Linked DNA regions of Rhinolophus ferrumequinum. The protein of the gene in region 2 interacts with the protein of the main gene of each other region in a pairwise test. Links are inferred from orthologs where the notes say so. Each region holds a gene or a part of one and is shown on either strand. Other genes may lie near its edges. The genes, in order: DNM2, ATXN3, EWSR1 and ARHGAP19.

What was found.
Region 1: the proteins of ATXN3 (region 2) and DNM2 interact in binary tests that used the Homo sapiens proteins (3 or more experiments, as listed by UniProt). The link is inferred for Rhinolophus ferrumequinum from reciprocal best matches to the Homo sapiens genes ATXN3 and DNM2.
Region 3: the proteins of ATXN3 (region 2) and EWSR1 interact in binary tests that used the Homo sapiens proteins (3 or more experiments, as listed by UniProt). The link is inferred for Rhinolophus ferrumequinum from reciprocal best matches to the Homo sapiens genes ATXN3 and EWSR1.
Region 4: the proteins of ATXN3 (region 2) and ARHGAP19 interact in binary tests that used the Homo sapiens proteins (3 or more experiments, as listed by UniProt). The link is inferred for Rhinolophus ferrumequinum from reciprocal best matches to the Homo sapiens genes ATXN3 and ARHGAP19.

The regions. Positions count from the first base shown.
Region 1 is NC_046301.1:39,642,738-39,650,002, forward strand, and holds the start of DNM2 (dynamin-2), read right to left. Parts: upstream 3,001-7,265; 5' UTR 2,854-3,000; coding exon 2,693-2,853; intron 1-2,692. Other genes in the region: QTRT1 (queuine tRNA-ribosyltransferase catalytic subunit 1), read right to left, coding at 5,301-5,453, 5,540-5,627, 5,744-5,853, 5,965-6,040, 6,283-6,421, 7,126-7,241. UniProt on the Homo sapiens protein: Catalyzes the hydrolysis of GTP and utilizes this energy to mediate vesicle scission at plasma membrane during endocytosis and filament remodeling at many actin structures during organization of the actin cytoskeleton.
Region 2 is NC_046289.1:10,469,688-10,477,204, reverse strand, and holds the start of ATXN3 (ataxin-3), read right to left. Parts: upstream 3,017-7,517; 5' UTR 2,973-3,016; coding exon 2,949-2,972; exon of another isoform or gene 2,876-2,948; intron 755-2,875; exon of another isoform or gene 704-754; intron 541-703; exon of another isoform or gene 400-540; intron 1-399. UniProt on the Homo sapiens protein: Deubiquitinating enzyme involved in protein homeostasis maintenance, transcription, cytoskeleton regulation, myogenesis and degradation of misfolded chaperone substrates.
Region 3 is NC_046308.1:18,737,323-18,744,773, forward strand, and holds the start of EWSR1 (RNA-binding protein EWS), read left to right. Parts: upstream 1-4,439; 5' UTR 4,440-4,559; coding exon 4,560-4,572; intron 4,573-7,451. Other genes in the region: RHBDD3 (rhomboid domain-containing protein 3), read right to left, coding at 798-1,181, 1,855-2,002. UniProt on the Homo sapiens protein: Binds to ssRNA containing the consensus sequence 5'-AGGUAA-3'. Might normally function as a transcriptional repressor. EWS-fusion-proteins (EFPS) may play a role in the tumorigenic process.
Region 4 is NC_046299.1:26,442,693-26,450,477, forward strand, and holds the start of ARHGAP19 (rho GTPase-activating protein 19), read left to right. Parts: upstream 1-4,774; 5' UTR 4,775-4,811; coding exon 4,812-4,867; intron 4,868-7,785. UniProt on the Homo sapiens protein: GTPase activator for the Rho-type GTPases by converting them to an inactive GDP-bound state.

The DNA.
Region 1 (7,265 bases), on a different chromosome or scaffold from region 2:
GGGCCACTGATATGCAACCCCCATACAGGGCTAAGTTAACTGGGTCATTCCCACTCCAACCACATTCTTAGAAAATCCACAAGGAGGAGGCACTGAAATGGAGCAACGTGTGCTGACCCCCAGGCACATACCTTGGACCCTCTCTTGTCTGTTCCTCGAAATCAGTGGGACATCCACTGTACTGGTCCACGATGAGAAGAACAAAACAACAGTTTGACCAAATGCCCAGAAAGAAGTAGGGAGTGCAATTCAAAGTGAAGTCCATCTGCCATCCCCTTGGATCAGGGCTTTGTAGCTGAGGGGCCTTCCCCACATTCCAGAAATAAAAAGAAATTAGTTCTGTCAGAACACACCTACCCAAAGAGAGGCCTTTTGACAACTTTGGTTCTCAGGCCCCAAATTAATGCTCTTAATGAAGGATGTCGCATTGCGGGTTTAGGGGAGGAGGTTGCTACAGAAGCCAGCTCAGTAGGAGCTGGCAGTCACCAGACGCCAGCGTGGATGGGAGAGAAAGGCAAGGGGCAGAGGGACAGAAGAAAGGTGGAGAGAGGAGAAAGACTCTCCCCCTCAAAGCCCCCAATTCCTCACTTAACAGCCTCAAATAAAAGTGCTCAGCTCTCTAAGCCTCAGCTTCCTGGTCTGTGAAATGGGATCATAGCAGTACCACCCTCATAAGGCTTAAATGAAGTCCAGTGTGAAACTTGAGACCACTTTAACTTTGATTAGCTTTTGTTGTCAATATGAGAGGAACCAGCACAGTGAATAATGGCCATATAGACCTACTGTGTGCCAGGTACTATGCTAAATAAGCACTTTCAACATACTATGTCACTGCATCCCTGCAACAGTCTTGAGGGACCATCACCCCATTTTTAGGAGGGGGAAACAAGGCTCAAAGAGGTCAAAAACCTGTGCAAAGTCAAAGGCAACTAAAACGGACAAAGCTTTGCAGATGCCCACCAGAAGCCTGGGCAGGCAGGAAGACGGCCATGCAGAGAGGCCCACAACCCAGGCTGAGCTGACCCCAAACCCACACTTTCTGTCACAGTGGACAGAGGGCAAAGTGCCAGGAGACAAAGCAGCAAAGGAGGAAATTCATGCCACTGGGAACAAAACCCCAGGCCTCCGGGAAAGCAGAGACGGGGCCGCATGTTCAGCTGGGCTCCAAGTGAGCACCAGGCTGGTGGCCTTGGGCAAATGGCCGGGCCTTTCTGAGCCTCCCTGCTCATCTCTAAGGTGGGGATAACAACCTCCACCCTACTTGCTCATCAAGGAACTCAAGACTCTGAACCAAGAAAGAACTCAGCCTGGTTGCCTAGTGGATTAACATTACTCCTTCACACTGATAACAGGAACAGTAATCATGACAATGACTATGACATTATCATTTGACAGCCAGTCACAAATGGAGTCCTTCCCAGAATAGAAACGTGGCCGCCCATCTGGGAAGCAGAAGGGCAAGAGGCAGAAGAAGGGAGAGGGGAGAATCAACCGACCTCATTGGCCACAGGACCGCTTCTCTATATTAGCTTCCTGAATCCCCGAAATAACACAGAGAGTGAAATCTGTCCACTGAACAGATGGGCAAACTGAGGCTTCTCAGGGCTGCCCTGGGAAGACCTTATCCCAGCTCTTAAGATGGAGGCCTGATCAGACAAGAAGTCCCTTCCCAGGCTCCAAGAGGGCCCCCAATTGGCAGGCTTTAGCTTGGTGTCTGGCCCCTGTGTTCCGGGGTCCTGAAACACCCTGTCATTGGCCAGGAAAGAATCCCGGAGAAAATTCGCCCCCAACTCCTAATTCCAACTGACAAGGGAGTAGTTCAAGTCTCATCCTTCAGCTCCCTTCTCTTCTCTAAATTCCTATCACCCCCTACCACAGAGGGTGGGCCAGACAGGGGCTGTTAAGGGCACTGATGGGCAGACTAGAAGGACAGACACTAGGAGAGAGGAACTAAAAGATCCACTTGGAAGAGAGGAGCCAGTGTTTGCCAGAGACCAAACTGAAGAGTGAGGCCAGGCTCCAGGGTTGTCTGAAGAGTCCAGACAACAGGCTCCCCTAGGTCCAGACAGCCAGTCAGATAGCAGAGGCCAACTGGGGTAACCCAACAGAAGGATGGCTAAGTGTTAAAGTCTTTGAGGGGCACGGATGGGCGGCCAGACTACACAGGTCATCCTGGACAGCGAGCCAGACAGCAGGGGGCTGCCCTGCAGAACTGGACAGATGGACAACCAAATGGTGGTAGCAGGCAGGCCTATCCAGGACAGAGACACAGCTAACCAGACAGCAGGGACTGCTCCAGATAAATGAACAGCCAGCCAGACCGCAGGGGTCGGCCCAAAACATATCTAGGTTTTGGACAGAGAAGAGAGACCTATCCCTGACCCACAGGCAACCAGATGGTAGAATTCACCCACTAAAAGTGGGGACCAGAGTCGGCAGCGGTCCACCGCAGCTCCTGGCCCACCCCCCGACCCCCAGCCGGTTAGACCCGCCTTGGGCCTGCGCCGACTCCCCAGCCTTCGCAGGGAGCCCTACACTCAGGGCGTCCAACAGGACCCGCCTCCCAGTCCCGGTCCCCACCGCAGGCACGCAAGCGCCGCAGTTACGCCGGCGGCGCAGGGCGCGCCATTCCCGGTCCGCCCTCCGCGCCCTAGGCCGCCGCCCGCCCGCGGTCGCCGCCGCGCTCGCTCACCGGCCCACGAAGTTCTCCAGCACCGAGCTCTTGCCGGCGCTCTGGCCGCCCACCACGGCGATCTGCGGAAGGTCCAGGTGGCAGCTCTGGCCGATGGAGCTAAAGGCATCCTGCAGCTTGTTGACCAGCGGGATCAGCTCTTCCATCCCGCGGTTGCCCATGGCGCCGGCAGCCCCTGCCCGAGCGCCCAGCGCTCCCCGCCCGCCCCCGGCCCTCAACGACACGGCCCCGCGGCGTCCGCGGCCGTTGCTCCCTGCCCGCCCGGGCCTCGGCGCGACGCCCGGTCCGGCTCGGCCTCACGGTCGCCACTTCATCCGGTTCTCAGGCGACACCCGACCCGAGCGACCTCCCGCCAGGGCCTCGGGGCTGCGCCCAAAGCCCGCGCGCCACGCTCAATTGGCCGGCCAAGCTGCCACTTGTGAGCGCGAACCAATGAAAGTGAGGCACGGACTTAAGGCTGAGTGAGCCTTCCCCATTGGGACCGCCTCGCGGGCTCATTGGATGTTAGAACTGTCGCTGTTATGCGAAAGCCAATAGAGGCGGGTACCGAGATGTCAAGGCTGGTAGGTGGTGTTTCGGGAAAAGGCATGTTGGCTCCGCCTGCTAGAGGGAGGCATGAAAATCCGCCAGTTTTATTGGCAAGAAGATCCTCCAGTCAACAACGCTGGCCAATGATGTTAGGGATCGATCCTTTAGACCTGCGTTTGTCATTTGACGCTACCTAGTTCTCTAAAAATTTCCCATTGGTTTATAAAAATATCACTCCATTCCATTAGCCAACAAACCGAAAGAGGGCGGACTTTAACCTCCGAATCTTAACTCTGATTGAGAACTGTACCTGTCAATCAACAATATCCCGTTCTTACTCGTATTCTGTATGTCTATTAAGTTTTCTGGAGCAGAGGGTAAGGCCCATCGAAACCTCTGAAGGGCGACACTTATTGGTGGAAATCGGTGGTGATCAGCACTTGTTGAGTTGCCAGGCTCTAAATAAAACTACAAGTCCCAGAATACATCTCGGCCCGGGGCTTGCAAACCACCTCTCTGCGCGGGGTTCCAGGGCGCTTCGAAGGTGGGAGTTCAGCGATACTAAGGATCCTAAGAAGAGGCAGTCTAGCTCTGTATTGTCGTCTCCCACTCTCATTCCTATATAAAGTCACACCTCCACGCCTATGCGAATGCTGTATCCTCTCCTCGGATTACCTTCCGCTCACACCCAGTCTAGATGAGACTAAGGCATCCAACGTTGTTCCCCGGCCCCAACTTCGGCGCGTCATGATCTTTTTGAGTACCCATTGAAACTCAGCGGATCTTCTGTCTATGAAAAGACACGTTAAGAAGTGATTTGATCCTCCTGGGCATAGATGGATCAGAGAGAAACTGAGGAGGTCGGAGAATGCAGAAGAGCCCAGTAGGGAGTCAGGAGCTATGGAGGTGGGAAAATGGGCTGATTCGGAGAAACTGTGGAGAGGAGGATGGCAGAGCGGCCTATAGTATATGACTGCTTCAAGCGGCCTGTAGTATATGACTGCTTCAAGACCCAAACTTCAGGTCTCAGAGAGATGGGCAAAAGGAGACCAACAAGATTTGGCATTGCAGCCTTGACTAGAATAGCAGAATAACCTGGAAACACTCTTAACTGCCCATCCATGGAGCTAGTTAAATAAATACTATGCAGCAGCTATAAATAAGATGAGGAACTCCTCATGTACTGACATGTAAACAATTTGAAAAATACTAAGGGGGAAAAAAAGCAAGGTAAAGAACTGTGTGTAAAGGATACCAACATTCATGAAAATATGTACACATGGAAAATTTCTGGAAGAATACACAAACTGATCAAAATAGTTGCATTTTTATGTTATTTGAATGGTGGATCCTACGTATTACTTTTTCAATTTAAAAACCCTTATCTTCTAAAAGCACCAACTCTGTAATTGGCCATATCTGGGTTACATCCTGGGCCTGTTTATTTGCTGGGTGATAAAGACCAAGTGACTTGATTCCCATAAACCTGTTTCTTCATCTGTAAAATGAGGAACATAGCTATTCATGCAACATAAAGTTGCAAAAATACAATACACATAACAACCATTTAGAACAAGGTCAGGCATCGTGTAAGCATTTGCTAGATCACACCTATTGTCATTATCACTGTGTTTTCTGACAACAAGATGAAGCCACATGTTGGGAGAGACAAGGCTAAGGGCATGAGCTCTGGAGCCAGGCTGCTACTTCCTCAATGGTGACCTTGGGCAAGCTACTTCCCCTCCCTGGGCCTGTTTGCTCACCTGTAAAAAGTGGGAGGACAAGTGCCCACCCCTAGAGTGGCTGGGGGGCCTAAGCCATGGGCAAAGGAATGCAGCTCTCACTCTGGGCCACTTCCTTCATACTGGGCTGTGCCAAGTGGTTGCCAGATACCAGCTGTTACTATGGTTATTAGTTACTATCAAAGGGAAGCAAGGGACATCAGACGTGATGACACTCAGACCAGGAATGGGACCAATACAGGCCACCGCCCCAAGAAGGCACAGACACACTCTGAGTTACAATAAAAAACCAAATCCTTCAATATCTTCCAGCCCCTCCCCCTGGCCCCCAAGCCGGGTCAGCTCAGAGTGATTCCCACAGAGGCCAGGGCTTCAGTGGCCCAGGTGGGACAGAGGGTGGGGTCCCCATACATGGTGCCCATGAAGTCCCGCACGAAGTCGGGAAAGCGTTTCTCCACGATGCTGGCGCGCACCGCTCCCATCAGCCGCAACTATGGGGTGGAGGTGTCAGTGTCAGCCGCCTGCCCTGAAGACCCCGCCCCCACCCCTGCCTTGCCCACCCAAGCCACAGGCCCACCTGGTAGGCGATGTTGTGAACAGTGAGGTGGTGCAGGGCGGCGGTGTTGTCGCTGTGGAGTAGTGCGTGCAGAAAGGCCCGGCTGTGCCTGGGGACAGGGGGTCAGGGCTCAGCAGTGTAGCATCCTGCCTCCTCCACAACTCCCCCCCCCCCCCCCCCCCCCCCCCCCCCCCCGCCCCGGCCCCAGATCCCATCCTCTCCTACTTCTGGCAGGTGGGACAGGAACACTCGGGGTCTATGGGGCGGAAGTCCTTCTGAAAATGCTTCTTCTTCAACTGCAGGTTGCCGGTGGGCACCAGGGCAGAGCCAAAGCGCTGGGGGAGGAGAGGGGGAAGGGAAGGCAGGTCAACCATGTTTTCACCCTGTCCCCCACACCCACTTTGGCACTCCCCCCAGGTTCCTGCCTCAACCGCCCAGAGCCTCACCGCTGTCCGCGTGGGGAAAACGCAGTCGAACATGTCGCATCCAAGAGCCACGCAGACCACCAGATCAGTGGCATAGCTGGGGGTGGGGCCATGGGGGGAGACGAGCACAGTACCTCAAGCCCTGGTCACACACCCAGGTCCTCCTCCCGACCCTCAGACTCCCCCTGGACTGAGACCCTCAGAACCACCCCCAGCAGAGGTCCATGTCGTCCTTAGTCCCCTCCCAGGCAGGTCTGTCTTTCCCCCCATACCACAGGGCAGGGGGTGCCCAGAAATCCACTTCCTAAAGGGGGGCTCTCTGCCCCCTTTTGGACATACCCAACCCCCATCAGGTATCGGGGCTTGTCCTTAGGCAACCTCGAAGTGCTCAGCGCCACCATCCTCCAGAACTGGCCCTTGCTCTCACCCCCACTCAGGCCCCCGATGGCGAAGCCCGGCACGTTCCTCTTGGTCATCTCTGCGGGTACAGGGCAAGGTGAGGGGTGGCCAGACAAAAGGAAACACTGCTCCTCTTCTTCCTCTTCCTCCCCCTCTGTGTCCCCATCTCTGCCTCTCCTTCATCTCCACAGCCTTGCTGTAGTCCTGTCACCCTTCCTCTGGGCACCCACTCCAGCCTCCTCACGGGCCTTGTGCTTCCTGTCCTACTGGGACTTTTCTATGGTTCCCCATTGGTTCCTATCACACTCCTACTCAACAGCCCTCCATGGTTCCCCAGGCCCTCAGTGTACCAATTAATGCTGTAGAGTCTAGAGCTCAAGGCCTGGGCCGAAATCCTAGCTCTGCAATATCCGAGCTGTCTGGCTTGGGGTGAGTGACAACAGCTCTATGCCTCAGTTTTCCCTTCTGTAACCTCAGGAACGTGGTAGCTCCCACCTTACAGGATGGTTATGAAAAATCAGTGGGTCAGAACTTAATCAGATCCATGATCAGAACTTGGCATAGTGTCTGGTAAACACCCCAAAATTGATGGCAATTGGAATTACTATTATTCTGCAAACATTCTACTCCATTCTGCCTCTGGGCCTTTGCTTCAGCTGTTCCTTCCGCTTGCAGTGCCGTTTCACCCATTAACAACCACTGTCTGAGCACCATCGCATGTCAGGCCTTTGTGGGGCCCCCAGCGATGTGACAAGCCCTGGTCCTGCCAGCACATGGCTCTACCTTCCAGGCAGGTGGCCCGGAGATCCGCATCTAGCCCACCCTGGATGATGGCGAAGAGATTTTGCTTGTCCGGCCGCCGATGGGCTGCAATGCAACGGTCCAGCCAGCGGATTGATCTGCAAAAGGACCAATTAGCAATT
Region 2 (7,517 bases):
AGAAACTGCATCTCCAGCTTTCCCAAGATATTTTATAAAACCACAAAAGGGAACAGCATCCAAATCATTCCCCCATTGCCCTCAAAGATTTTAGGACCAACTTGAAACTAGTTCAAATTCCCAGAGACACTAGTGACTAGAACGGAAACCGGGCATGAACCTAAGTAAGGGTGGCTGTGGCAGGGCTCATGTCTTATTTGAGCCTCTCATCTGAGTGATAATAAGGTTCCATCCCTTTTGAGGAGATTCAGCAAACACAGGCATCCAAATAACAACAATGCCAGCTCTGCTACAGCGCTAAGTGCCAGGTAACATTCTAAGCACTCAACTCCGAGGAAAACGCTTTATTATCCTCACACACAGAAGAGGAAACTGGAGCAGAGATAGGAAGTAACTTACCCAGGATCATACAGGTAGTAAAGGGCAGAGCTGGGCTCCAAACCCAGGCAGAGGCTTCAAGTCTGTGCTATTAGGTACCACTTCCTCAGGCCACTGATGTGGAATTTGGTTATTACTAAACCTCAAGTATCCTGAAGACGGCTAAGAACAGGCAATCACAAAGGGCATAATAGATGTCATAAAGTCAATGCTCAGCATCTTTTAGGTGTTTTCACTAATTTTAAATATAACCCCAACCAGTTCAGTCATCATTCCCAGTTTATATCACATAGAAGTACCAATTCAGATGGTACAATAACCTCACCAAGAGCAGTCAGCAATAGATGTGATAACAAAAATGAGAGAAAGCAGGCACCGGAACTAAAAACATAAAAACAAAACAAAAAAGCAGTTAATGGCCATTTAATATTAGGGTTTAAGTTAGGGATTGGCAAACTCAAGCCCTTGGGCCAAATTCAACCTGCACTAGCAGCTAAGAATGGTTTTTATATTTACAGATGGTTGGGAAAACACACATAAACAAGAGTATGTGAGACTATATATGACCTGCAAAGCCTAAAATATTTACAGAAAAATTATTTAGGTAGACAGCACCATATACATCTTAGATGCTCAAAGAACTCATTTGATTCATTCAAATATTTATTGAGCACCTACTATGTGCCAGGCGCTAGAGAATATGTCAGTAAACAACTTGTTTAGATTACATTGTAACTTAATAAAAGGAACTGAAAGCAACAACTCTGAAAATGGGGAAACCAATATTCCAAGGAGAAGTGGTTACAGGGCCCTTTGTAGGAGGAGAAGCAAGAATGCTGGAAAAATGCACATTAAGGTCAAGTATTTTCATAATGGACTGTGTATGAGATTAACAATGGGTCCTATGATTACAGATGCTTTCCATACTCTTGAAATATGCCCAAAGAACTTGAGAAGAACCTTCGTTTGCTAAGTACACAAAAATTAATAAGCGTAAATGTTCTCCTGAAGTATCTTTAAGCCTACACACATGCTAATAATTGAGACTGATTTCTTTCTTATAAATGCATTTTCATTAGGCTATCCCCCAGTTTCTTTTGATCCCATGGTTTGGTAGTTACCTTTATTGAAATGTATCCAAAAGAGGTAACAACCAATATTGTTAAAATATATATATTGTGTAGGTCTCAAGAAATGGTGTGGAAAATGTTGGAAGTTTTCCATGTGGAAACATTTGGTCCTACACCAAAGCTTCTGAAACTTAGTAATAAAAATACATACATGCAAGGGTTCTCTTCATGCAATCTCCTTGACAAGCAACTAAATTTCTCTTGTCCAAGTTTCCTAAATTAGGTCAATCAAGTCAGGATTAGCAATAACTCTATCGGAGTTCTTCCTCCCCACGCATAAAAACTGGTCCATTCTAGAACGTGCCAAACTTTCTGAAATGTTTTCTATAAAGAAAAGCATTCCATTTAACAATCTGTTTAGATTGATGCTGTGTCTCTGGTCTTTGATTGCTTTATTTGATTGTCGTGTGTTAATTTTTTTTAAATAAATGATCATTTAGAAGTATTTAACAAAAGAAAACCCCTTTGCTCCTACTAAATAAGAGCCGCACCAGCAACCCTTTCCAAACGAGACTATTATGAAACAAGATATGTGCCATAGCTGTCCTGAGGAAGATTTCACTCACACCCAAAAGGCTTGATAACTCTACGTGGGAAAAGACGAGTTTCTTCACATGCCACAAACAGCATCTTCAAGTACGTGGTCATCGAAGAATCAAAACAAAACAAGCTAGGCGCACCACTGCAATATTATTCCAGTTCACCCCTAGTATCCAATAAGAAAGCTGGCTTCCTGATCCGGAAAGATAGAACTATCAAAAGAAACGAAAACCAAACATTTCCTAACAAAAACACTTATGACGACTTCCCTGTTTAGGGGCGCACGGGGTTTCCTACTTTGTCCCTTAGTGTCAGGCCCTCCGTGGGCTGAGCCAACGTCCCTGCACTCGAGAGACTCACGAACCTAGTGCACGAGAAGGACATGAATACACCACCAGGGAGCTAAGTGTATGAGAGATTCCAAAATAGAATTGAGTCCAGAGAAGGAAAAGTTATTATAATTCTGCCAGGGGTAGTATTGGGAGAGTTGGGAAGGATCGAGGGAGGTGTCCGAGAGGTGACTAGCTAAAACCTACGAGAGTAGGGAAGAAGGGACTGGAGAAGGAATCCCACGGAAAGTGGAAGGGAAGCACAGAAGCAAACCCACTCGGTGCCACCCCCTCTCCGGTACCCCGAGGCGCCCACCGCCCTGCCCTCACTCCCTCCCGGCTCCCCGGACATCTCGGACCCCGGGCTCCCCGGGGACCGTCGGCACTGGCCTCAGGGGCGGGGGGTGCGGTGGGGGCCTCGATGAAGCTCCCCTCCGGTGAAGCTCCGCCCGCCCGGGGAGATCGGGATGGGGGTGACTCGGGCCCCACCCAGCTCACCGGGAGGTAGAGATACCGCACCCCACTCCCGCCACAGCGCCGCACACCGGTCCCCCCGGATGCGGACACTCACTTTCTCGTGGAAGATGGACTCCATGTTTATTTGTCTGGAGCCAACGGCCCCCGCACCGAGCCAGCCCCCTCCGGCTCCGCCCCCCCGGCCCCACCCCTCCGCCCCCCCGGCCCCGCCCCGCTTCGACCCGCCCCTAAACACTCTCCTCATGCGGACCAATCACCCCCGAGGATGAGAGTCACGTGGACCGAAGAGCGAGTGAACGCCGGGGCTGTGAACGCGGGGACACGTGACCTTTGTAGCACGTCCTCTCGTGGACTGTTGCCTGGGCTGCTGGAGGATCCTGCAGCGCCTCCGGAGGTCTGGAGGATCTTCTCTACTTCCCACCCGTTGCTGTAGATTCTTCGGCTTGTGGGGGTTTGGGTAAGTGCCACGTGGGTTCTATGTTCTTTTTGTTTTCCACTTTACTTTGTACTTTCTACTTATTGTATCTGATTATGATTATTTAGTATCTTCCTCCTCTGCCTCATTAAAAACAGGTATCATTGCGTCCCCCAATACCTAGCACTTACGTGAAAATGATAGTTAATATTTATATAGGGCTTACTGTAGGGTGGGCACTCTTCTAAGAGCTTTGCATGTGTTAATGAATTTAATACAGCAACGTTTGATGCAGGCGTTGTTATTATCCCATTTTACTCATGAGGCAACTGAGGCACAGAGAGGTTAAGAACAGCACAGTGTCCAAGGTCAACAACTAGTGAATTACTAGTTTGGGTTGGGGTCCAAATCCAGACACCTTGTTACTAGTGTATGTGTTCTGGCCCTGAAGAGAAAGCATCAATTCACGTAGCTGAAAGATCCAGTAAAGAATGGGGAAAGGGCTTTGAGGAAGCTGAAGAAGTAGAGCAGGAGCAGGTGTTGCACCTTGAAAGTAGGGTAAGTAACCATGTTGAGCAATGGGTGGAGATTTTACACACATACACACACACACACACACACGAATGTTGGTCTGGAGTTCAGGAGGTTGGTTTGGCTGTAGAACTGGGAGTTGTTGACATTGAAAAAGCAACTAAAACCACAGGAGTGCATAAAATCATCTAGGGGGAAAAGGAAGAGCGTGAGAAGAATATCTGGAGCACAGCCCTGAGAGTGGAGGACTAGTCCAGGAAAAGGGAGGAAAAGCAGAAGAGTGTAATATCATGGAAGCCCTGGGAAGGAAATGTGTCATAGAGCAGCCAGTGTCACTTGCTGCCAAGAAGAGGTTGAGCAACGTAAGGACAAGGGCCCACTAAATTTTGTTGCTAGGGAGACCACTGGTGACTTTGGAGAGTGCAGGTTCAGAGTAAGAGGGGGCACCAGGAGGTAAGGAAATGGAGACCGCGAGTGAGGACCAGGTGCTCAAGGAAGGATTCGGTGACCACTTATTGAACGTCTCTGTGTGGTCTGCAGTCCTGCAGGCCCCCTGTATTGGGGAAATAGTCTGTGTTCTTAAGGACTTGTCGCCTAACTGGGGAAACACATCATGGTCTCATGAAGTGAAAAAATATGCAAAACAGTTTTTCTGATGTTTTTCCTAAAGAGAGTGTGTGTCCATGTAGAGAAACATGTATTTATATACAAGCATCTCTGGAAGAATATACAGGAATCCCAGAGGTTATGTGTTTGAGATGAAAAAGGAACTAGCTAAATAGGATACGGGTGGGAGGGAGACTTTTCACTACAGTTTTATTCTTGATTTTTGAGCTATATTATTAATGTATTATTCAGAAAAACTATGTGATTGTATTCATTTCCTAGGGCTGCTGTAGCAAATTACCACCAACTCGGTGGCTTAAAACAACAGAAGTTTATTCTCTCCCTATTCTTGATGCCAGATGTCTGAATCCAAGGTGTCAGCTCTGAAATCTCTAGGGGGAATCCTTCCTTGCTTCTTCTAGCTCTGGTGGTTCCTGGCATTAACTAACTTGTGGCCACATAACTCCAATCTCTGCCAGTGTCTTCACATGGCCTTCTTCCTTTTGGGTCTCTCCACGTCCTCTTACAAGGTACCAGTGACTTGATTTAGAGCCCACCTTAATCCAGGGTGATTTCATGTTGAGCTCTTTAATTACATTGGTAAAGACCCTATTTCCAAATAAGGTCTTTGGTTCTGGGTGGACTTGAATTTTGGAGGAACATGATTCAACTTTCTACAGTAATTCATTGCTTACTAGGATATACGCTAGCCAGAGGGCCTTACTGTTTTGTTCACTGTTAAATCCTTATCACCTAGAACAGAGCCTGACAGTATTTAGTAATGTTGAATTAATATTAGTCATTTCATTAGGCCTTCTAGACCTATTGAGCACATGATTAATAGCAAGAATAAAGTGAAAAGATCAATGCCTGGGAGTCAGAATGCAGGTTCTGGTTTTGGCTTTATCTCTGAAACCAAATTTCTGTATGATTTGGGTATTAGATTTTGTTGCATTTCCTATTTTAATAACTCCATTTGATAGTCAGCACTTCACTTTGCAAGACAACACATATCGTCCTTCAAAACCTAATGACCATACTCCCCAGAAAGCATTCCCTGCTCTCCAACTAATCCAGAAGTCCCTGTCCAACTAATCCAGAAGTCCCTGTCCTACTTATGAGCCCCTGTATGTGCTTCAGTCATACACAGTGCCTTTTACACAGCATCATAATACTTGGTTTAATCATGCATCTCCACTACCCTATAAATGTCTTGATGGCCGGGCTCATGTCTTATTTGATTTCGTATATCTAGTAGTTGATGATGCCTTTCAAATGAATTAGTGAAGCCAAGCGTCTGGGAACCATTCTTCATTCTTTCCCCCCGCCTCTTCTACCTCACCCCTTGTCCCAGTTTGACCTCAAATGCTATATATTCACTCCTCTCTCTCCCCTTTTTTCATTATTACTGCTTAGCTCAAGCTGCCTTGGTTTCGTGTAGTGTTTGAGGAGCTCTGAGTTATTCTTCTGATTCCAGTCTTAGTATGTTCGATTCATAGTGCTGTCAGTGATCTCTCAAAAACACAAATCTCAGCAGTTTTCCTTTCGTTGAACAAATGGAGTACTACTATGTTATCAGGCACTGGATTACAACCGTGAAAGAGACAAACAGTCCCATCTTCATGGAACTTATATTGGGAGGGATCTTTAAATAATGACACAAATCTTACTCTATTTAAAATCCTTCAGTGCCTTCCCATTGCTGGCTTAAAAAGTTCTACGATCGGGACCCACCACCTGTCTGGTTTTATCTCCCAGAATTCCCTCTGATCCAGTCACACCAGCTCTTTCCCTTGAGTTCCAGAAAGTTCTCTGATGAAAAGTCCTTTGTGCCACCACAGTACCTTGCACAGGCCTGTATTGAAGCATTGATTACATCATACTGCGATTACTTTCTACACTACCAGACTCAACTTTTGAGGGTCAGAGGAGTCTTCATATAAAGTGGTGGTACAGAACAGTGAATAAATGCATGAATTCTTTCTGACTGATTGGCACAAAAAAGTATTACAATAATTCAGTAGAAGAGGTTACTGAGCTAATCGGGAGACTTCCTGGAGACAGGGTAGATGGAATAGTTGCACTTCCATACTTTCTATGTCCGCTCGGACAATCAGCTTTTCTCAATCCACTTCATTGAAATTTTATGTTAACAAGTGAGATTGCATATATTTCTAGCTTCTTGAACACTATACCTTTTAAACTGACATTAATTTTGTTACCCAAAATCAAATAGTTTAACAGAATTGTAAACGTTTGACATTTTAAAACTTGTAATGGCTGTTGGCTTGGGTCCTGAGTTCTGACAAGAATCAGTGATAATTTAGGGAATATCATTTCATTGTAATTTTACTTCTGAACTCAATCTCACCTAAAACAATGTCTCCCAAGAGAGGTAGTCGAATATGAGAGGACATATGTATATACGCATGAAACCATCACAATCAAGAAAATGAACATACTATACCCAAGTTTCCACATGCCCCTTTGTAATTCTTCCCTCCTACCTTTCTGCACCCTGGTTCCCCAGGCAATGACTGTTACTAGCTTGCAGTTTCTTACATTTTATATAAATGGAATCACAGTGTGTTCTTTTTGTCTCTTCTTTCATTCAGTATAATTAATCTGAAATTCATCCATTGTATCAATAGATTTCTTTTTATTGCTGAGTAGTACTCAATTACATGGATTTATCACATTTATCCATTCATTTTTGGATGGACATTGTGGTTATCTCTAATTTTTGGCTATTAGAAATAAAGCTGCTATGAACATTCACAAAAGTGTCTGTGTGAACGTATGCTATCATTTCTCTTGGGTGGTATCTCAGAGTGGAATGGCTGGGTCATATGGTAGTTGTGTTTAACTTGAAACTGCTAAACTGATTTACAAATTGGTACAACTCCTCCTGGCAGCTACGTCTTCCATTCCTGCCAGCAAGTGAGTGGGAGTTCCAGTAGCTCTACATTCTTGCCAACACTTGGTAAGACCAGTCTCTAATTTTAAGCATTTTAATAAGTAGGTGTGTAGTGGTGGTGTCTGTTTTTAATTTGTATTTCCCTAGTGACTGCTGCTGTTCAGCATCTTTTCACCCTCAAATCTATTTTAAAG
Region 3 (7,451 bases), on a different chromosome or scaffold from region 2:
GAGGAAAAGGGACCTGCCTGAAGCTACTCAGCCAGTGAGAGGAGCAGCCAATGTGCCTCACCCCAAAAGCTGTATCATCCAGTTTCAGCCACCCCGTACCCACTGTTTCCAGAGCCCTACCTACCTGCTCAGGTCTGTGACTCAAGGCGCAGCTTTGGGCTCAATAACACATCCCCTATTGCCCTGAGCCAGGGAAACTTGCTCCCCATACTGGGATTCAGCCAGGCCTCAGCAGCTGGTGTCCCCGATCCTAAATAACTACAGGGGTCTGCCTGTGCCCGCTGTTCTCTCAGATTGCAGTTTTCCCCAACAGGCATTCAGCATCTGGAGCAAAAGCCTGTGTTTAATGCACATGCACCACCAGCCATAGGTGGTTCTCCCTTTCGGCGCCCAGAGAACCCCAGCTCATTCTCACCCCTGGCCTTTGTATTTTCTGTGCCCTCTGCTTGGCCCTCTCCTTTTTCACTACATTTTAACCCCTCATCCTGCACGCATCAGCTTAGATGCCACCTCTACTAGGGAGGTCCAGGTTAGGTGCCTCCTTGGGCCACCTCAGCACTCTAGGCTCCCCTTTAAATTGGTATTGGTACCTCCACCTGTGGCCACGAGCCCCCAGGCCACAGCCCAGAAGCCTGGCTGGAGGAGAACATGGAGATGCTCCTGGAACGTCTACGTGTGCACAGCTTCCCGGCATTGTTGGGTCTGACCCCCTTATGCCACCTCCTTTCCAGGCACCTTGGGGGCCCAGCCTCAGAACCCACATGTCCATACAGGCCCAGAGCCCAGCCAAAGGATACAGGCCAGGCCAGCAAGGAGGCCACAAAAGAGTTGCAGGAAGGGTGGCTCAGAGCTGAGCAGGGGTGTCAGGGCGAGCAGCAGCCATGGCAACAGCCATGGTGGCAGTGCCCCATGGGGCCGTTGTGGGCGGTAACCCTGCCCTGCCAGCATGGCCAGGTGGACAGGCATATATCCGCAGCCACCAGCTGCACCGGACACCCCGAGGCCTGCCAGTAGCACAGCCATTAGCCCGGCGGCCAGGGCGAGCAGCATGGAGGCATGCAGGAACTGCAGGGTGCCCAGGTGGCACTCTTGCTGCCAGCCCAGTGCAGGCAGGAGCAGCAGACTCAGGAGCAGGCTGGGTAGGGCCGTGTGGCCTAGAGCATGGGTCAGCAGCCGGTGTGCTGGGAGAGAAGAGGGGCTTATGTGCCAGGTTAGTGGCCCCAACCCCAAAGGCTGTCCCAGGTGTGCCAGGTTGGGAATTACCCTCTGCCAGGGCCACCCGCTGAAGCCAGCCTCCCCTCCCCAGGAGCCAAAGTCTGCCCACTGCCAGCAATCACTCGTGGAGGGAACCAAGGGTTTCCAAACACTGGAGCTGCTCCCAGGACGTATTAAGCAGAACAAGGTGGACCTACCACTCGGTCTTCTCAAGAGTAACCAACTATGGATGAGTCACTTAACCTCTGTGAGCATCATTTGGGTTCCTCAGATGTAAATGGAAGCTGCTATTATTATTGGGGAACAGGTACTCAGCTGGGGTCACTCCTGAACCCTCAGCGCCTCCTCCCCATTCTCATGCTTAGCTGAAAGCCTTAGTTCTTATTTCAAGGAAAGCCCTCAGAAAGGGAAGCTGTCTGAAAAGAATTCCTATTCACAGGCTCTCACCCCTCCGCTGGCTCCTCCGCCCTCCCTGGCTGTGGACGAACTAGGAGTACTCCCATCCAAGGCTGACCTTCCCAAGGGTACTGGTTCTATCCCTGCCTGACCACTGCAGGAGGCACACAGCTCCTGCCAACTGGTCTCAGGCCCTAAAGCAAGTCTCTTGCTTCCTCCAAGGCCCATGTGACCAGCCCTCACCCTGCCAGGGATCCAGCAGCAGCTCCGGGGCCAGGGTGAGGCTGGGGCCGGCCCCCACCAGCCACAGGCTGCTCATGAGCAGCATCAGGACTGAGGAAGCAAGAGGCAGCGCCGGGGAGAGGAGGGCAGGGGGGCCTCTGCCACGCATAGCTTGGCTGAAGGTGGTCAAGGGTGGTCCTGAGGCTGCGTGCTAGGGGTAAAGGAAAACAGTAACAACAGTTATTATTGCAGCTTTTGTCTGACTCTTTCAACTACCCTACCAAGAGCTCCATTTTACAGAAGTAGGAACTGAGGCTGGAGAGGCAGTCTCAGCAACTTGGCCAGAGGAACTCGGACCGTAACCATGTGCTTAGCCATCTTGCCAGTCCACCTGCCTATGTGTGCGGATGGAGGGGCGAGGCCAAAAGAGCCCTCATGGGCCCTGAAGAGGAGCCAGGGGTGGGAGGCACAGGGCCAGGGAAGTTAATTGGGGCCCTGGACTCCCAAAGAGGTACCCCTGGGGCAAGTTCAGAGCCATCTCCAGCTTTCCTCAGGCTGCGACCAGCCACCTTCCTCCCTACCCCCTCTACTGTGTCCAGGCTTAGAGCTCTGGATGGCCTCAGATGCCCTTGACCAAGGGAGAGAGACCAGCCAATGGGCAGGCAGATTAGGGAGGGAGTGGGGCAGAAGAGCTTGGGGGGGGGGCAGCAGGAGTCCCACACCCTGAGAGCATACAAAGTGACACTGGACTGAGACATCCCCTTCCTTAGAACCCTGAGCACAGCCCCTCCCCTTCTCACAGGACCGGTCCAGTATCCACTTCTTCCTGTTGTGTATCCCTGGGCAAGCTTTGCATCCTCTAAGCCTCTCCTTCCTCTTCTGTAAAATGGGGATTAATAAAAGCCTTTCCGTGTAGGATGAGAAAAAGGAATGGACTAAGGCAGGGCGAGCCCACAGCAAACTGTGGGAGGCAGATGCTTCAGCCTCAGTGGTTCAAGCTCTGGCCTTCAATCGTGCCCATTCCCTGCCCACATGACAAGGCTTTTTCTCCCCTGTGCTCTCCCTTCACACCCCACCTGTCCTGCAGGCCCTGCTGGAATCCCCTCAGCCTTGGCCAGGTCTGTCTATCTCAGGAGTCCCACTGAACTGATTTCAAAGGGCAGGAAGCAAAATCCCACAGAGACAAGGTGGCCTCATCTGCTCCCTTGCCAAGGGCACCCTCAGCATCAAAACCCACCTGCCAGTTTCCTGCAGGAAAAATGTAGAAAGCTCCTCTGTCTGCAATGTCCTTTCCTCCATCTCTTCAACAGGCAAACTCTTTTCGCACCCCTTGAAGCCCAGTTCAAATGTCCCCATCTCCATCTCTGGGCCCCCACATCATGAATCTTATCATATCTAATGAGCACGGCTTAGCCTTTCTCCCTGGCAGGTGATCTGAGCTGGAGTGGGGGTCGGGGGATTCGCTCCTCTCACTCATCCCCAAGTTCCTCAGGGTGCTGCTCCCCACATATTGCTGGTGCTGTATATGTATTCACTGAAAGAAAGACACTAGCTTGGCACCACGACCCGCTGAGGGATTTGAGTGAGATTGGGTTGAGAGTAGAAAGGGAGACAAGTGCCACCCTTGTCCGGAAACAAGGAATCCACTTTAGGCTTTCTCCTGCACCCTCACAACCAAGTCCCCCCTCCACCTCTCCAGTCCCCCGCCCTCAGGTACCTTAGCAAGGGTGAACTCGCCCATGGACAAACAGAATTGGGATTTGAACCTCCCTGGCCTCAGTCTCTTTATCTATAAAATGGGGCTATAAACCATCAGACCCTACCTACCTTACTGGGAAACCGGCGGACAGAATGGGAAGGCAAGGACGGGGAAGATTCTTCCGGGTGATGGAGAGAGTGGGGGTCCCAGGGTGCGGGTCGGACTCAGCTTTGTGACTTTAGGAAAAGTACCCAAATTCCTTGGACCTCAGTTTCCCCTTCTGTAAAAACAAGAGTATTGGATGAAGAATGATTAAAGGGCCTTTTCAACCTCGACCGTTACTGGGGGGCTCTCGGGGCCGGTCGCAACGTTCGGGGCCTCCCATCCTGCCTCAGCCCCCGCCCTCGCCGGCCTGGGCCACGTGTCCGGGGTACTCACTGCTGAGCGCGCCCCGGCCCGCGGAAGGCCGGGCACGATCCCAGGCTGGGAGTCGGTACTCAACCTTCCCCCCAAGGCCCGAGCGCCCCAAACCCATTCTGCTCGCGGTCGGGCGCGTGACCCCGGCGGACCAGCCGGCGCGCCACCCCCTCCCCCGCGGCCCGCCGATTAGTCAGCAGTTGTTCTAGGCCCAGATCCCTTCCCCCAATCCTCCCTCCGGCCTCCGTTTCCCTTCAAGGCAGACTCTTCAGAGACAGTCCCTAGAGCCAGCGGACGTAACCATCCAACAATTTAGCCTCGTGCGAAGAATCACTCCGCCTTCGTATCAAGATCCGCTCACCGGCCGCTTCAGCCCCTTCGCTGCTATTTGGACCCGCGCGTCAAGTCCGGCGCTCTTTAGAGAGGATTAGGAAAAGAGTAGAGGTCGGGAGAACGAGAAAAACTGTGGCTCATCCCTCTTTCCCACACCCCCGTGGCCTGGCCCCATGGTAGCGCCCGAGGTTGCGGGTTTCGCGCCTGCGCAGTGCGGCGCCTAGAGGGAAAGCGAGAGGGAGACGGACGTTGAGAGAACGAGAAGGAAGGAGAGAAAATGGCGTCCACGGGTGAGTGTGGTGGAAATGCGGCCGCGCCGGCGATGGCCGGGACTCCCAAATCGGGACAGCTCGTCTCTGGGGGTGGCCGGGACAACTGAGTGGAGTTTCTGAGAAGTGTGTGAGGTACCCGCCGCGGCCCGACGAGCTCGAGGGCCCACGTTCCCGTCCCCTCCCCCACTGGGTAGGCCGGCTCTGGAACCTTCCAGCGCCCCCGCCGTACGGGGGGCTCGCGGCGGCAGGGGCGCGCGGGGCCTGCGGTGGCCTCCATTGTGTGGCGGCCGTCGGGCCCCGCGCGCCCGGCCTCCCGCCACGTGGGCGGGGCCTGCGGCCTTCAGAGCTCCGCCGGGGATGGCGCTCGGTCCGGCTTCGAGCCGGGCACCCCAAAACCTGAGGTGGGGGGGGCCGGACGATGGTTCCCGAAGTCGTGAGCCCGCTGCCCTTCCGACTTCCCCACCCCCATTTACAGAGAGACGGCCCAAACCCGAAGGAGACTCTATTTCACCGAAAAGCTTGGGGAGAAAGCAAATAAAAAAAGCCATCGTGGATTTGTGAGCCGAGGGGCGCCGACCTATGAGCAGGAGCCCCGTCATGCTTAGGGCCTGGTCTGCTGGGGCGTCCGGTGCCACCTAAGCTGCCCCTTTCGGCGGGTTCCAGCCCCAAGCCGAATTTCTGCCCGACTGGGCTTACAAGGGATGTGCTCCCCCTCCCTTCAAAATCTCCCCAGTCGGCTGTTCCCTCCGGCTTCTTCGTTTTCACCATCATTAATCCCGCCCCAAAAAGCAATTAAGTGGCTTCTCAGGGTTATTTTTCATCAAACGCCGAGAGATCCGTTGTATGATGAGACCAGCCCGGATCGCGAGGCCAGAAATCCCTACCGAAAGAAATCTCTCTAGTTTCTGGCCTAAGAGAAACAAAAGGCCCGGGTCGGCATTTGTACTATGCTTAAGCAGTCGTCTCACACTTGCACTTGCCTAGGTTAAGCCGGTAGAGAGGGAAGGAGGCGCGGAGTGGGAGCTGGAAATGTGGTGTCTAGGGTGGGCCTTCCTGCGAGGAGTATTTAAGAGTGTAGCCTAAACATCACCTGCACTTGGCAGCCTGTTCCCGCACTAACCTGAGGTTATCGGTAGGGTGGGGCATTTTCCCCCGGGCCTTATTCTTAGGCGGTCTAAGTCTAGGCCTTAGAAGCTGTAGGAGAAAAGGTTAGACGGAGCTCTTCTCCAACTGTGTGGTCAGTAAGCAGGCAGGTAAATGCTGGTTGTTGGTGCCAGGGTACAGAGTGTCCCTAGAAGAAAGGACTCTGAAATATCACAGCCCAAGACATCCTGGTGGAAAGGGATTTCCTCAGCCCATTCCACCTTCCTCTTCTCCCTTCCCTGTTAAAGCTTGGGCAGTCAAAATGTGTTAAAATTTTTGTGGCTGGATATGCCAGTTTTTTGTCTGCTTTGCTCAGACTCTGTTTACTGCTAACCTCTGAGTACTATGTACTATATTAGTATTACAGTTGCAGTTTATGTAGAAAGTGACCCAGCTGGGGTATGTTGGGGGAGTCACATAACTTATCTGAACTTTGGTTTCCTTTCGTTCAAAATAAAGGAGCTGCTACACCTTTTAAGAGCTTTCAAAGCCCTTAACTTTTGACCTTACAGCAAAGCATTTTTGGCTCCCACAAAATTGCCTCATACTGACTTTCACTTTTTATGTAGTCTGAAGTTCTAAATCTCCACAGTTTGTATAGTGACTGCCCTAAAGTATCTAAAAGCCCCCATATCTTGGGTAGTGTTAAATGTGTTTCCTCCTCACTTGCATCTATATAGAAAAGTATCTAAAATGCAGGGTATGTCCATTTTAACAAATTAAAATGCACACCCCGAGTGACTGCATGCAGATATTGCCAGCACTCTAAAGGCCCACCTAGATCACAGCCCTCGCCCCCAGTCTGTCCATTTTCAGTAAAGTCTTCAACTGCACATTTGGGGGTTAAAAGCAAAACAGTGATCGGTAAATAATCTGACTAGTGTGTGACAAGAGCATTTTTGAGGCCATATAATTGTGTGCTGTGAGTAGATAACGTAAGTTCTCCTAAAACAAATTGGCTACCTTCCATAGCCCACCAATGTGGGGCTAAAGCATCTGGTTTCATGTTGATTGAGAACATTGGTTGTTCTATATCAGCTTTGCCAGTTTTATGTTTTACATAACCGTTCTTGTATAAAAGTGCTCTTGCAAACATTGAACTTAGATGTCATGATTTAGAATCATTTCTCAAGCAGAAACCTCGAAATGTAGGTTAAACTATCAATTTTCAATGCTTCCTTGTTGTATTTTGTGAATACCACATGGAATAAGTGATTTTCATTTACTTTTTATTTGCCACATAAAGAGCATGGTTTGTAGTGCCATTGAAAATGCCTTAACGTTTAACTTTCAAATGCTATAAGGTTGTCTTTGAACAAATCAATTCATAGCCTTTGGGCAGTTGATTTAATAATGTTGATTCAGGTTTCTGAACTAAGGGTGTACAGAGGAAAGAAAGTTGAGTCAAGTGTAGGGGTAGAAAGATGAGCCAACTGCAAGAGATGAGTTCAGGCAGGCCTTTGATGGGGGGGTGGAAACCCTTCCATAAAGAGCTGAGATGTCAAACTGTTGCTTTCAGAGGAAGGTCTACTTTCTAACTGGAATAGAAAGGACACTTGTTTGGGCCTAATGGAGGTATTGTCTTCTGACAGATACGTATATTCTTATGGAGAGCAAAGAATTGGACAGAATTTTTTAAAATAATTAACTTTATATATGTATACTCGTACATTTAATTCGGAAGTGCTGTGAGAACTTCTTAACCATTTTGTTTTCTGTTTTCACTACTTGTAGAGACCTCACTGGACCAGAAT
Region 4 (7,785 bases), on a different chromosome or scaffold from region 2:
AACAGCATGGCCGCCCTGCCCCTCCAGTTACAGCCTGAGCTTTCTGAAGGTAGGAGTCAGGGCTCATTCAACTCTATAGCCCCAGTGCGGAGCTCAGTGCCTGATAGATGGTGAATCCCACACACAGATGCCCTGACTGCATGTGCTTCCGGTCCCTCTCTCTGCCAGCCTGTTGCTGGTGACCTGGCTGGGGAAGATGACCCCCAGGGTTTTTACCTTGGGGGTTCCAGCCCAGAACTCGTTCATTGCTAGCTGCCCAGAATTGGTTCCTTGACCTCACTGAGTTCCCTCCGTCACCCTCTAACGCCCTGTAGCCAAGCTTGGAGAGGATTCCACAGCAAAACGGAAAACGGTTTTCTTTTCTCAGCAAACGGAATAATGTAGATGTTAATCTTTGATGTGTCTGAAGGAGACTGAATGGTTTGCCCCGAATAAACAGGTGCCCCAGGAAGCAAAAACAAAACAAACAAACAAAACCAGGAATGATTTGTAGCACACATCTGTCTTTTAATATTTTTCCCCTTTTGGAGGTAATTTCTCACTTTGGCGGGACACAGGGCTTTCCTTCCGCAGAAGGGTGAAGATAAGCTACCTAAACTCAGCCAATCAGATGTTCTCACCCATGACTGCCTCTCCAGGGATTGACAGAAGACTGTGGGACAGACGGGAAATCAGCAGAGGGGTGACTCTGCTGAGAATCAAGTGGCACTGATTAGTGTGACCTTGGCTGGGATTCGGAGTCCCTAACTCCATCCCTTCCATCAGTTCTCCAACCTAGTATCCTTCCAACAAATCCAGTTTCTGTTAGGTTAGCCAAAGTAAGTTTCTGGTGCTTGCAACACAGGCTGACATAAACCTAAATGTGCAATTGGTGGGGACAATTTAAATAAACCGGAACATCTCTAATGTGGGATACTACACAGCAGTTTAAAAGAGCGAGAGCAATCTATATATGTACTGACATGGAAAGATCTCTAAGATGCACATATAAAGACCATATTTACAGCATATCAATATTTATCTAAAAATAAAACAAAATAATGTATTTCTCTCTATGTGTGTGTTACCTTGAGAATGAAATACTATAAGACAGGGACTTTGTTTTGTTCACACCTGGTATCTCCGGGCCTAGAACAGTGCATGGCACATGGTAGACATTCAATAAGTATTTGTTGAATAAATGTACTGTGTAGAAAATGATCTGGAAGATCGCATATCAAACTGAAAATAGTGGCTTCTTAGAGGAGGGACTAGAATGTAGGGGCGGTAGATGAGGGAGATTTTACCTGTATGTATTTGAAAAATTTTTTTTACAAGAAAAATGTCTTCATGCGTTACTTGTATAATTAAACAATATAAAAAGAGCTAAATATTAACAGGTGATGAGAAAGCCATTAAAATGATGATTCCCAGGCAGCCAGATGGCTCCATTGGGTAGAGCGCAAGTTCTGAACAACAGGGTTGCTGGTTCAATTCCCACATGGGCCAGTGAGCTGCGCCCTCCACAAGTAGATTGAAGACAACGAGCTGCCACTGAGCTTCTGGACGGGGCAGCCAGATGGCTCAGTTGGTTAGAGCCCGAGCTCTTAACAATAAGGTTTCCTGGTTCAATTCCCACATGGGATGGTGGGCTGTGCCCCCTGCAACTAAATATTGAAAACGACAACGGGACTTGGAGCTGAGCTGCGCCCTGCACTAACGACTTGGAGCTGATGGGCCCTGGCGAAACACGCTGTTCCCCAATAATTCTTTAAAAGAATAAAAAAATAAAATGATGATTCCCAAGACTTTATCATAACAAATAACAAGTTAGGTGGCAAAGAAAGGGGAAAGGAATGGATTATTGCAGGTGTGCAAGTGATATTTTGGTGGGGGTATTGGCCATTTTGACAAGAGAATGAACCGTTAACTTTTTAGTCTTTTTTTTAATGGTCAATAGGCACCCTCACCCCATCCCTAATTAGTCTCAATAGAGATGCAAAACTCAGAAATATTCATTACACTCATGAGCACACTTTTATATTTTCACGTGGGCATCAAAATGTCCTGCTTTAATTTAAGCAGAGGGAACAGCAAGAACAAAAGTGGAAAACAAAGATTCATCCGAGGACTGCCAGTCACTTGCATTGAAGTGCATTGAAGGTAGAGGTGGGGGTGTGGAAAGCATGATGTTGGGGTGGGGGCCATGGACAGATCATCCTTCTCGTTCTTTCTCTTCCATCTTCTACTTCTTCTTCTCTCTCAACTTTCTCCTTTCCTTTTACCCCCTCCATTGAGACTAGGGCCTGGAAATACAAAGATGATTAGAACACTACTTCTTTCCCCCAAACTTGAGGTCTGTTGGGGTAGGTGGATGGATTTGCATGACCTTTGTGGCAGACTCAAGTCCATGCCACTGCTCTTAAGCCGTCCCTGAGAGCCCTGGCCTCCAGCCCTTCTCCACCCTTCTGAATTCTGAGGAGTCTCTTCTCTACTTTGATAGCCCTCTGTAATTCTAAACTGTATGTGATTTATGTGTGTTCATTATGTCTCCCAGAGTCTATTATAAACTCCTTGAGGACTGGAGCCACTTTTCTGTGACCTTCTGTTCAGCCAGGCTGATAGAAACAAGATGACTTTCTGAACTTTCATGAATTCCTTCTATATAGCCATGCTTATCAGCCAGCTGACAAAATAGTACCTAGATGGACTAAAGATGATTTCAGGGGAGCTGTGACACCTTGCAGAAACAGAGTGTGCAGGTTTGTCAGCTTTGAGGGGTGGGGGTCCTTTTATAGCACTCAGCAATGATACTTGCTTTTAATCAGAAGTCACAGGGGAACAGTTGGTTTTGAGGAGAAACACTCCCCTCTCCAGAGTAAATGATGCAACTGTAACTTCAAGTGTAATGTATGGTCTTTATCACACAGCAATGGAGATAGAAGTGATATCTGAGAAGGGAGTTAAGCATTCTTGATATTCATCATATCACCTTGAATATTTATTTATCTAGTCCTGGTATGTGCCAGACACTGTGTTGCTAAGCAGCTTTTCAGATATTATCGCATTTAATCTTCACACTACCCTTCTGACAATTATTATCCTCATTTTACAGAAGAGGAAATGGATTCAGAAAGTAAAGCAACTTGCCTGGAATCACAGAGCTGAAGTGATAGAGCCAGGATTTGAACCTAGGTTCACTAACTCCAGAGCTCATGCTTTTAACTAGTGTGTTGTATTTCCCCAAATATTAAGGGCTTTGTATAAAAATGTCATCAAACCAGAGGAACCAGAAATATAGTTGTGTGGTGTTTCTCTGAGTTGTGGTAATAAAAATTTTGAACATTTCTTTTGTGTGAAAGAATCAATTTCATTCAGTCAATCAATGTGCTGAGTGTCAGGGGGCCAGAAAAAAGAACCTTGTTCATACATGTTTGTTGAATTTCATATATTTGCTGGATAAAAACAATTTGTTAAACATAAAACTAAATGCAATTTTATTTGACACTTTTATCAAACTTAATATGAATTCTCATAGATTGAAATAATCTATTAGAACATGTGATTCAATTTTTGACTTGGATAATATAGTCTGAGGACTTCTTTATTAATTTGTTCAAACGATATTGAAAGGCCACTATGTGCAAGATGCCATGGCAAAATAGACATAGTCTGTGCCCACTTGTGTCAGGAAGTCTAGTTTTGAACCTTCACATGAAACAAATGGTCACACAAACAACTATATAATTATGAATTGTGATAAGAGCTGTAGAGTACAGAGTGTTGTGTGCAAGTTTAATAGGGGAACTGATTTGTATAGTGGGCCATTGAAGGCATCTGAACCAGTGACATTTAAGCTGAGATATGAAAGATAATAAAGTGAGAAATGGGCCAGCCAGAACAAGCAACACCTGCGCAGGCTCTGAGGCAGGGAAGAATTTGTTGAGAAACTGAAACATATGTGGGTAGAGCTTAGTGAAAGAGAAGGAGAGAGCTGGGAGAACCTCAGGTAAAAGGAAGTCAGAAGGAACAACAGAAGAAATATTCCTAGAAAAATCCATAGATAAAAGCATAGAAAAAGAATACAGAAAAAAATTAATGCTTTATGTTTACAATGTGTTCATATCTGTTGCTTTAGTTAATCTTCACCAGAAGCCTGTCAGGCAGGGAAGACAAGTGTAATTATTATTTCTACCATTGAGGATTAAAGCTCAGCCAGGGAGAGTTATGCAGGTTTTGGTTCCATGATTCAGAACAGAGAGGCAAACTCGGTGGGTTCTCTGGGATGCCGGAAGGGAGCGGGTGGAATGAAGCATAAGTAACCTATCGCTGTGCTGTGTGACCATCTGAAAAAAGCAGGCTGTGAACTAAATTCAATAGTAAGTACTTCTTTGTTGCCACTCTGTACCTAGCCTTCTAGGTATCTCACTGTGTCAAGACAGAAAACGAAATCTTGCATTTAAGAGAGTGACTTTTAAAGTCACTTTCAAATTCGAGTTTTGTAATTCTGAGCTTTACATGTCAGGTCAAAATTTGAGCGTAAACTGCGGGTATTTGATTTGAACCTAAAAGTCAGGGTAATCCGAAGGGTTAATCAAAACGAGAAACTACAACTCCCGGAAGGCCCCAACCCCTTTCTATCCCGCTAGGGCAGGGGCTGACCAATGACGGTTAGTTGTTTGAATAAACCAATAATATCATGAAACTGTTTTGGTTGAGAAGGGGCGGTCAAGTTATCCAATCGTATGGAAGAGGGGAGAAACACCTTAGCCAATCCAAAGGCGTGGGGGTGGGGCCTGAGGTGGTTCAGTGAAAGAAGTTTGCCGACTGTGATGGCGACTGAGGCTCAGAGTGAAGGGGAGGTGCCAGCCGGCGAATCCAGGAGGAGGTGAGCCGAGTTCTTGGTCCAGCTGCCTAGGAAACCAGCCTGTGGGCTGGTCGTACTGACGCCTTTCCCTTGGGTCATGGTGACCAAACGGGCCCGGGCTTTGTGCCTTCCACCCACGGTGTTTCGCACCCTGGTGCCTGTTGAGGCTGAGGCGCGGTGGTCCCGCCCAGCGTTGGGCTTTAATCAGCCCCCGCTTTGTCCTGCAGATGTCCGTGGGAGGTCCGCCCGCGGTGTTGGCTGCAAACTGACCAGTTGGTGGTGTCAGGACTGCCTGCCTTTGCGCTGAGACTCATCTTGATGGTGAGGCAACTCAAGCCCAGAGCTGTTAATCGAATTCCCCAGCGTCACACAGCGCTGGGAGAGAACGCTGTCAGTACCTTTTAATCTACTCTGAGTCAGATTATGTACTTTAAGTCAGAGTAAGGATTTGAGTGTCAGTTAAAAAAGGGTTTGAGTCCTTGGGCCAATTTTTAAAAAAAATTTATTGTGGCAAGAACATTTACCCTCTTGGCAAAATTTTAAGTGTCCAATACAGTATTGCTGACTATAGGTAAAATGATGTGCAGCATATTTTAAGAGCTTATTCTTCCTGAAACGTTATGCCTGTTAATTAGTAATTCCCCATTTCCCCTACCCCCAGGGCCTGGGAACCACCATTCCACTCTAATTCCATGAATTTCACTATTTTAGATACTTTATGTAAGTGGTATCATGCAGTATTTGTCTTTCTGTAACTGGCTTATTTCACTTAACCTGATGTCCTCAAGGTTCATCCATGTTGTCACATATTGCAGAATTTTCTTTTTAAAAGCTGAGTAATATTCCATTCTATGTATATACCATATTTTGCTTATCCGTTCATCTGTCCATGAACGTTTAGGTCTTTCCACATCTTGGCTGTTGTTAATTGTGCCTCAATGAACATGGGAGTGCTAATATCTCTTTGAGATCCTGATTTCAATACTTTTGGGTAAATACCCAGAAGTGGGATTGCTGGATCATATGGTGTTCTATTTTCAATTTTTGAGGAAACTCCATACTATTTTCCATAGCAGCTGCACCATTTTGTTTTCCCACCAACAGTGTACAAAAGTTCCAATTTCTCCATATCCTCACCAACACTTGTCTTTTTTTTTTTTTAAATAATTGTCATCCTGACAGATATGAAGTGATATCTCATTGTAATCAGGAATACGGACGGCATGGATGCCCAATCTTGCCACTTCTGTTCAGCATAGTACTGGAAGTCCTAGCCAGAGCAATTAGGCAAGAAAAATCAGAAGGCATCTAAATCGGAAAGGAATAAGTAAAATTGTCCCTGTTTGCAGACATGATCTTATATATATATAAAGTCCTAAAAATGCTAACAAAAAGACTGTTAGAACTAATAAACAAATTTGTAAAGTTGCAGGATGCAAATCAACATACAAAAATCAGTTACATTTCTATACACAGTGAACTATCTGAAGAGGAAATTAGGAAAACAATTCCATTTATAAGAGCACCAAAAAGAATAGTATACTTAGGCCAATTTTTAAACCTCTCTCAGCTTCAGATTTTCCATCTGTAAATGGATGTAATGATGTCTAGTCCACAAAATGCCAGGATTAAACTAGACAATTCTATTAAAGCTCTTAGGACTGAGCCTTGCAGATAATAACCACTTAATACTTGGTAGATTTTCTTTTTCCTAGAACAACTGAAGAACAGACAAGAGGGATCTGCAGTTTAGGAAATCATCATTTCTACAGTGTTCTCTCCTAAGCAAGCACACTGAAACTTAGCATTTCTGAGAAAGAATTTCCAGCTGGTCTTGCTCCAGCCGTGAGATCTTAGTTGTCTTAATTGATTACACATACAGACGGTGCCATAAAAATATATACACAAATTAAGAAAAGAAAATACTGTGTTAAAATTGTAATACAATGAATAACGCTAGCATTCATTTGATTAACGCCATCTTTTGAGCAAATGTCATACTACACATTGCTGCCATAATTCAATTCAACCTTGAAAAGTAATACATGAATAACATCTCTTAAAATGTGTACATATTTTGGGCAGCCAGATGGCTCAGTTGGTTAGAGTGCGAGCTCTGAACAACAGGGTTGCCGGTTGGATTCCCACATGGGCCAGTGAGCTGCACCCTCCACAACTAGATTGAAGGACAACTTGGAGCTGAGGGGCCCTGGAGAAACACACTGTTCCCCAATATTCCCCAATTAAAAAAAAAAGTGTACATTTTGTTGGCACCTCTGGTATGTTAGAATTCAGTAGAATGAGCTTATTTTCATTGCCTCAGTATAAATCAGTAAAACACTTTAGTTTGATATCTCTTGGTGCCATTTATACTGAATAGGAGTTTCCAAGTCTCGTGAAGCTGGGTAATGAGCTCGCACTGAGCTCCTTCCCTGGTTGAGACGGGCGTGGTTTAATGTGTTGTTTAATATTTTATAGGAAGAGTTTTCCATTCTTGGAGCTGCCTATAAATCGTTGCCGGGAAACTGTAGAGGGGATTAATAAATTTGATTAGATCATTCCTTATCCTCCTGTAAAACCTTGAATTGTGATGAAGACAAAATACTATTCTGTAGCAGAAGTAGTTTGGATTCCTTTAGAGGATGTTGCCAACTGAATGTAAATTTTGTAATGGTATTAATTACATGATCAACAGGTATTCACAGCATCTTATCTGAACCTGAAACTTATCAACTCCATGTTGTAAAAGAGAAGTTGGGTTTCTGTAAGGCTTTTTGAGGGCAGGACATGTGAAGATTTTTATTACATATTCCCAACTTAGCTTTGCTTTGTTTAGGTGGTCAATAATGAATGAATAAGAGTCTCTGTCATTTCTAAGATATAAAATATTACTTTGTGGTGATAAATACCATACAAATATATTTTTTGCCCTGCAGATA